Yarrowia lipolytica: one gene and its partners. Each later gene encodes a partner of the first gene's protein in a complex. Links are inferred from orthologs where the notes say so. Each region holds a gene or a part of one and is shown on either strand. Other genes may lie near its edges. A codon is read from its position in the direction of its gene.

Evidence for each region.
Region 2: the proteins of YALI1_A14736g (region 1) and YALI1_E23635g are in contact, whole or in part, in a crystal structure (PDB 1HR8), measured with the Saccharomyces cerevisiae proteins. The link is inferred for Yarrowia lipolytica from reciprocal best matches to the Saccharomyces cerevisiae genes MAS1 and COX4. Residues at the interface, in NP_013264.1 of Saccharomyces cerevisiae: His70, His74, Phe77, Asn100, Ala101, Tyr102, Thr103, Ser104, Arg105, Glu150, Val154, Glu160, Ile180, Leu181, Trp277, Tyr282, Leu286, Gln289, Ala290, Asn294, Gly302, Met324, Ser327, Thr328, Ser329, Gln379, Leu380; in NP_011328.1 of Saccharomyces cerevisiae: Ile8, Arg9, Phe10, Phe11, Lys12, Pro13, Ala14, Thr15, Arg16, Thr17, Leu18, Cys19.
Region 3: the proteins of YALI1_A14736g (region 1) and YALI1_F02758g are in contact, whole or in part, in a cryo-EM structure (PDB 8ABH), measured with the Yarrowia lipolytica proteins. Residues at the interface, in XP_500073.3 of Yarrowia lipolytica: Met176 (codon at 1,373), Val264 (codon at 1,637), Gly265 (codon at 1,640), Ser266 (codon at 1,643), Glu267 (codon at 1,646), Val268 (codon at 1,649), Arg269 (codon at 1,652), Leu270 (codon at 1,655), Arg271 (codon at 1,658), Asp272 (codon at 1,661), Asp273 (codon at 1,664), Thr274 (codon at 1,667), Thr356 (codon at 1,913), Thr357 (codon at 1,916), Asp447 (codon at 2,186), Glu457 (codon at 2,216), Gly458 (codon at 2,219), Tyr460 (codon at 2,225), Tyr462 (codon at 2,231), Asn463 (codon at 2,234), Arg466 (codon at 2,243); in XP_504875.1 of Yarrowia lipolytica: Trp10 (codon at 1,233), Trp11 (codon at 1,230), Gly12 (codon at 1,227), His13 (codon at 1,224), Met14 (codon at 1,221), Gly15 (codon at 1,218), Ser16 (codon at 1,215), Pro17 (codon at 1,212), Pro18 (codon at 1,209), Gln19 (codon at 1,206), Lys20 (codon at 1,203), Gly21 (codon at 1,200), Ile22 (codon at 886), Ala23 (codon at 883), Gly24 (codon at 880), Tyr25 (codon at 877), Thr26 (codon at 874), Ile27 (codon at 871), Ser28 (codon at 868), Pro29 (codon at 865), Phe30 (codon at 862), Ala31 (codon at 859).

The regions. Positions count from the first base shown.
Region 1 is NC_090770.1:1,472,790-1,475,706, forward strand, and holds YALI1_A14736g (uncharacterized protein), read left to right. Parts: upstream 1-847; coding exon 848-2,272; downstream 2,273-2,917. UniProt on the Saccharomyces cerevisiae protein: Catalytic subunit of the essential mitochondrial processing protease (MPP), which cleaves the mitochondrial sequence off newly imported precursors proteins. Preferentially, cleaves after an arginine at position P2.
Region 2 is NC_090774.1:2,362,555-2,364,615, forward strand, and holds YALI1_E23635g (uncharacterized protein), read left to right. Parts: upstream 1-928; coding exon 929-1,417; downstream 1,418-2,061. Other genes in the region: YALI1_E23629g (uncharacterized protein), read right to left, coding at 1-332. UniProt on the Saccharomyces cerevisiae protein: Component of the cytochrome c oxidase, the last enzyme in the mitochondrial electron transport chain which drives oxidative phosphorylation.
Region 3 is NC_090775.1:274,986-276,985, forward strand, and holds YALI1_F02758g (uncharacterized protein), read right to left. Parts: upstream 1,261-2,000; coding exon 1,200-1,260; intron 889-1,199; coding exon 668-888; downstream 1-667. Other genes in the region: YALI1_F02726g (uncharacterized protein), read left to right, coding at 1-314; YALI1_F02794g (uncharacterized protein), read right to left, coding at 1,786-2,000. UniProt on the Saccharomyces cerevisiae protein: Component of the ubiquinol-cytochrome c oxidoreductase, a multisubunit transmembrane complex that is part of the mitochondrial electron transport chain which drives oxidative phosphorylation.

The DNA of each region.
Region 1 (2,917 bases):
TGTTTCCCCGGTCTTTATCGTATAGTGCGCTGAGTAAGCTTCTTTTGGGGGGCATTTTGCCTCCATTACGGAAACGTTAAATAATGGAACGCCTCCTATTGGCTGCTGGGACGGGACCAGGGACTTTTCCGGTTGGACGAATGACAAAGCTTGTTTAGTGAGATGAATGAAGGATGAAGGCCACACAAGCTGGGATCAGGGTGAGAGAGGGAGCGGGGGGAGGGATGGGGGGTTGGTCACGGTGACCCCTCGCCCCCCCTCGCCCCCCCCCCCCCCCCCCCCCCCCCCTCGCCCCCCCTCGCTCCCCCGGTATGTTGTTTATTGGGCAATTGCGTGTTCAATTGGCTTAAGCGCGACTCTGCTTGTACCAGTCTTCTACTGACAATAATTTGTCACTACCAAGTGCCTACTATACAGTAAATAAGCTTCCAAGGAAAAGTGATTTGACGTGCGGTACAGCAGACGAGGGTTGTGTGGGGCGGTGTAGAGCGGGTTTTTTGACATTGCGGGGCCGGGAGAAGCGGTATATATAGAGCAGGGTGGTCGTGGGGCGGAATGGAGGGGCCAGGGCCAGGATTCGGCGATTTGTAGCCAGTGCTACCCACCTCGTCCGCCGCCAATGAGAAACGCGGGAAAGCAAAATAGGGTTGGTTGGGAGCAATCTGACCACTCACAGGGCGGGAAAAATGTGCATCATGTCTGAGGGAAAGTGGCTTCACCTTAACACGCACTCTCTATTGCACCCGTCCGAGTAGTCTCTCTCTCGCATCGATCGAACGACCCCCTTTTCTCTACTTGTCGCACAACACGGCGTAGCAATTGAAAGACCACAGATCCAACCGACACCATGAACTCTCTTCTGCGACTGCCCGCCCTCAAGCGAGGTGTCTTCACCATGTCCAAGCGAGGTCTTGCCACCACGGTTTCCCCCAAGACTCGAACCTCCAACCTCAAGAACGGACTGACCATTGCCTCCGAGTCCAACCCTCTGGTGCAGACCGCCACCGTGGGCGTGTGGATCGACGCCGGCTCGCGAAACGAGAACGCCTACAACAACGGAACCGCCCATTTCTTCGAGCATCTGGCCTTCAAGGGCACCGACAAGCGATCCCAGCACCAGCTCGAGCTCGACATTGAGAACATGGGCGGCCACCTCAACGCCTACACCTCGCGAGAGTCCACCGTCTACTACGCCAAGTCGTTCAAGGACGACGTGCCCAAGTCGGTGGAGATCCTCGCCGACATTCTGCAGCACTCCAAGCTGGCCGAGTCTGCCATTGACCGAGAACGAGAGGTCATCACCCGGGAGCTCGAGGAGGTCAACAAGCAGTACGAGGAGGTTGTCTTCGACCACCTGCACGCCACCGCCTTCATGAACCAGCCCCTGGGCCGAACCATCCTGGGCCCCCGAGAGAACATCCAGACCATCACCAACACCGAGCTGCGAAAGTTCATCACCGAGAACTACACCGCCGACCGAATGGTCCTGGTCGGAGCCGGAGCCGTCGACCACGACGCCCTCGTCGAGCTCGCCGAGAAGTACTTCTCCCACCTGCCCTCTTCCCAGTCTCCCGTTCCCCTCGGTACCCCCCGATCTTCTGGTGAGGACGCCAACCAGAACCCCATCCCCAACTTTGTGGGATCCGAGGTCCGACTCCGAGACGACACCATGCCCGTGGCCCACATTGCCATTGCCGTCGAGGGTGTCTCTTGGACCTCCGAGGACTACTACACTGCCCTGGTCGCCCAGGCCATCATCGGCAACTACGACCGAGCCGTCGGCACCTCCCGACACCAGGGCTCTCGTCTCTCCAACATTGTGTCTGAGAACAACCTGGCCAACTCTTTCCAGTCCTTCTCCACTTCTTACTCCGACACCGGTCTGTGGGGTATCTACCTGACCTCCGAGAACACCACTCAGATTGACGATCTCGTCCACTTTACTCTCAAGGAGTGGAACCGACTGTCCACCTCTGTGTCCAACCTGCAGGTTGAGCGAGCCAAGTCCCAGCTCAAGGCCGGTCTCCTTCTGTCTCTGGACGGCACCACCTACGTTGCCGAGGACATTGGACGACAGCTCACCACCCTGGGCCGACGAGTCACCCCCGCTGAGGTCGAGGCCAAGCTCGAGGCCGTCACCGAGCACGACGTCCGAGCCTGGGCCCAGAAGACTCTCTACGACAAGGATATTGCTCTGGTCGGACTGGGTCCTATCGAGGGTCTCTACGATTACAACCGAATCCGAAACGACATGAGCATGATGAGATGGTAATTGTTCCCGTCTTTGCATATAGCCTGGAGGCGTAATAAAATAGTCAGAAAGACTTGGAGGACATTGTCGCAGAACGACTGTCACCGATCAGGAAGAATGTAGCATGGGTTGTGAAGCACCATCAGGATATTGGAGTGTAGTGGACTTTGTGAGTAGGGGTACGTCGGTTACCGTCTCCAGGACCATATCTAGTTAGACTGGAGTCTTCTACGAAGTACAGGTGATTGCCTGTTTGGCGCAGTTAGCTACGGCATAATTACATACCAATGTATATGCTGGAGGTCTACAAGATCGTGAGTACAAGCAGGTGCAAGTAGAAGTTGTTTCTGGGTACATTCTGGCTTCAAAGGCGTTATGGCTCCAGTATTTGAAAGGAGAACATACCAACGCTGATACTTCCTTTATCCAAGTCAACAAGAAAGGTTTTTATTTATTAAATACTACAAATTCTAGAAATATTGAACAAACTGATCAGCTTTGGGCACGTTGAACAAGTAGACGGGGTGGGCCGATCTCGGACAGTTGAGAAATAATGAGAAAAACATTGTAAAGGGAGTATCATTGGAATCAGAGAAGATGTTCACAGCGAATGGTGTACTATTACCATCCACAATGGTAGAGTGGCTAACCCAAGGTCGGTTTATA
Region 2 (2,061 bases), on another chromosome or scaffold:
ACGATTTCAGTGTTGGCTTCCACATAGCACCTTTCGGTACATTCCATATTTTTGCATAAAGTGGGTATTGAGATGATAAGGCGGATATTGTGGGGTGGACGAGAGAGGGGAGGATGTGACTCGGGCAATGTCACCTGTGAACAGACACGAGTCTTGTGTTTTTTGAGCAAATATCGACAAGCTACAGATGAGCAAATGAGATGACAGGGAGAGACCCAGGAAGAGGTGGAGATGACGAAAACAAAGACGATTGCGGGATGGATGGCACGACAGTTGTGGTGACGACGTGGAGAGTGTCGTGGATTGACTTGGAAAGTGTCATGGGGAGACATCGGGAGTGTCGTAGGGAGACGCGGGCAATGTGATGACTACATGCAGCGTATAACGAAGGAGAAATCGAGACCGGGGATGTCGCTATGTCGCTGAACTTGACTATTCGACCATTCGACTATTCGACATTGTGATGCACTTTACTAGTCGATGCCAGTCACTTCGCACTTAGCACTTTCAATGCATCAACCCTCTGACGTTTCCACCGACCCGTTACCTAATTCCGCACTCTCAGAACAGCTCAAATCAAACGACACAAAGATTTCGCAGATATCACAATTTCACGGATACCACTGAACCCCTCGAAAACGTGTTTGTGACACACCTGTGGCTGTGGCTGTGGCTGTGACGTGACTCCGTGTTACGACTAAGTGACGTGACTTATGTCATCATCAACAGATGGTGACAGCGTCAAATGCCATTTACCAGTTTCACAGCAGTTACTCTCAGCTGTGGCTGTATCCCGTACCAACGTATCCAAGCCGATTCATCATGAGATGGATGGGTCTGTGAGTTTGTACCAGACTTTTTGCACACCACGCTCTCACTCTACTGAGTCCACCACGCTTATGTCTCCTGTGCTTCAGTACTAACCCAGATGTTCGCCCTGAGAAGATCTCTGCTTTCCGCAGGCCGAATCGCTCGACCCCAGCAGGTTGCTCGATTCTCCTCTGCCTCTGCTCTCCTGCAGCACAAGGCCGTCAAGCCCGCCGAGAAGCTCTCCGAGGTCACCGGCCCCGAGTCCCTGATCGGAACCTCCGCCGCCCCCGGCACCGTGCCCACTGACCTCGAGCAGGAGACCGGTCTGGCTCGACTCGAGCTGCTCGGTAAGATGGACGGTATCGACATTTTCGACCTCGGCCCCGTCATCCGACCCCAGCACTCCGTCAAGGGCACCCCCGACGACCCCATCTGGGTCCCCACATACGACAACTCCCGAATCGTCGGCTGCTCCGGTACCCCCCACGGCTCCCACGAGGTCCAGTGGTTCCACGCCGGTGTCGATAAGGTCGGCCGATGCGACGAGTGCGGCGCCGTCTACCGAGCTTATGAGCTTGGCGCCGATGAGGAGGCTCCCCACCACTAAGGCTATGTATGTTAACTGAACAAACTGAGAGATTTGTCGCTTGTGCGTTGAAACCGTAGCGACATGCGAAAGAGAAACAACCATGGAACGTACAAACACAGCGTCTGTGTTGTTTTACAGAGGAAACCCGCTGTATCACCGCATGAGTAGCACTGTGGATGTAGACTGTAGGGTGCGGACGGGTGAATCTGAGAACCCACTGTATTATTGTGATACTGTAGAAAGTACGAGTACCTTAGTGGGACTGAGATGTAACCCTGAAGGCGACACTTGTTCGGACGTCGAAAGTCACGACACACCATGGGTGGATGTAACACCACCGTAGTTCTTAGCACCGTCATCTGCTCAGCTGTGAGACTGCCGACACGAGTTTTTCCAGTCACAACTGGAATGACACCGCTCACCGAGAGTGATCGATACAATGAATGGGTAGGCTCAATGGGTAGGCTCAATGGGTAGGCTCAATCTCAATGAGTAGGCCCAATGGATAGCTACCTTTTCGGGTCGCAGGGTGTCGAGAGATTCGGTACCTAGTGTTGCATTAGCACCGTACGCACATGACCAACCAACTGGATAGGTGTTTGTGGACAGCAATTCTGGTCAGGTCAGATGTGAGGTGTCAGGGCTTTACAGTGTAAGTCAGA
Region 3 (2,000 bases), on another chromosome or scaffold:
CTCTGCGATTCGAGGGCGGCTTTTTCACCCGGCACGCCCAATCGGCCATGGGTGAGGTCCGTCTGAATGACCCCGGTGTGCCCCGTAATGCGACTCTGGATTCAGGAGTACCCTTGATGCTGCGGGTACCTGACAAAGACAAGGGCGACAAGGACAAGGAGCCATTGACTCCGGAAGAGCGGTGGAAGAAGATTTGCTCCGAGCCGTTTGAGCTCATTGTTCGCGGCGTACTCAAGTATGATCTGCCGCTGTTCCACAAGGGTCAGTCCACCACGGTTTCGAAGAGTGTCAAGGTGACGCCACATAAAAACTAGCTATTTAATATTTATTGAGTGTATTTCATCTGTGTGTTATTGTTCCCTGTGGCTACAGTAGAATGTATATCTAAGATACTTGTACAGCTTTTCTTTGTGGTTATACTGTACTGTATGTGTTGTTTTCCGTGTTTAACATCTGATTTTCTGGACACTGTATGATTGTATGTGTGATACGAGAGATACGATACAACGGAAGAATTATCGTAAGTCGTTTTTGCAGTGTCTAATCATGACCAATACAAGGCATATTTAATATGACCTGATTAACTACAATACAGTGCACACTTCAGGGGACTGCTGTGACCTCTACGTACAATCCACGATGTCGATCTTAATATGTATTTCTATGCTTATTCGGCAAGAGCCTTGGCGAGCTCGTGTCGGCCAGCCTTGGTGTAGAGCCACTCGTTCTTCTCAGAGGCCTGGGTCCAGACGTAGTAGAAGAAAGAGACGGGCAGGATGACAAAGAGAGCCTGGTTCTTAGTTCGTCGGAAGGTGTTGAAGATGGCAGCGTGCACGACACCGGCGAAGGGTCGAGCAGCAAAGGGGGAGATGGTGTATCCAGCGATACCTGAGTTAGTATGATTGGGGAAGGAGTGACGATTGACTGGTGTGTGGTGATGGTTTGTCTATCTTGCGCGTGACTTTTTACTAGACCCTCAATTCGACCACAAAGGGACCAAGTTGGCCCTGGGTCGGTTGTAGTAGTGGACTGGTTGTACCAATATCATTGATCACCTCTAACACACTCTTGATGTGGTATGTTGTCCACGTAGGTCACCGCCTGATCATCACGCACCATTGTTGTCCTGAAGCCCTCATCGCGTGTCGAATAGCGTCCAATAAATAACGCAAGGCCTCATCCTGTCTTCTTGTACTCACCCTTCTGAGGGGGGGAGCCCATGTGTCCCCACCATCCCATGTAGTGTCCGTTGCCTCCCATTTTGATAGATGTGTTTAGTTAGTGAAGGTGAGATGATTTTCGTGAGCTTTGGCTTTGAAAGATACCCGTGTGATTCCATTGGCTGTTGGGAGGAACGGTAGGGTAACCCTGGGGAGCATCACTGTGGTGTGCTGGGAGCAAAGCTTATTGTGGGCGAATGGAACACTTCCAATATGCATGGTTCAGTGTCAGCAGCAAGCTGAATGATGAGACAATATGGGGACAATATGGAGACAGTAAAACGAGATGATAACTGACGATAACATGATGAACCCGAAAAGCATACATTCTGGATTTATGATTGGATGCTGCTTATTGATATATTTGTACAAATCTTGTAGGCGATACTCCTCAACATACATCTCTACAAGGACATGTTCATACTCTTGATGTCATTGTTATACATCTATCGTTTGATTTCTCTATGGCTCTATTAATCCGTGGGAGCCGTTTCTCCACCGCACCAGGCATGATTAAGTGATTGTAGCTATGGAGTGTACATGCTTGTAGTTGGTACAGTCTAGTTTAAACGCCGTAGACGTCACGCAGTCGCTTCTGGATGATGGGAGGCAGCTGCTCGGTCACGTCCTTGTCAAAATTGGGGTGCATGCCCTTGAGGCCACCCAGCACCTGTCGAAAGGTGTGCATCAGCGCTTCGCTAGGCTCCAGGTATCGGGCCACGGCATTCACAAACATGAGCAGGGTGGAGTTGTCGAGGGCTTGGGGGTTGGACGAGATGA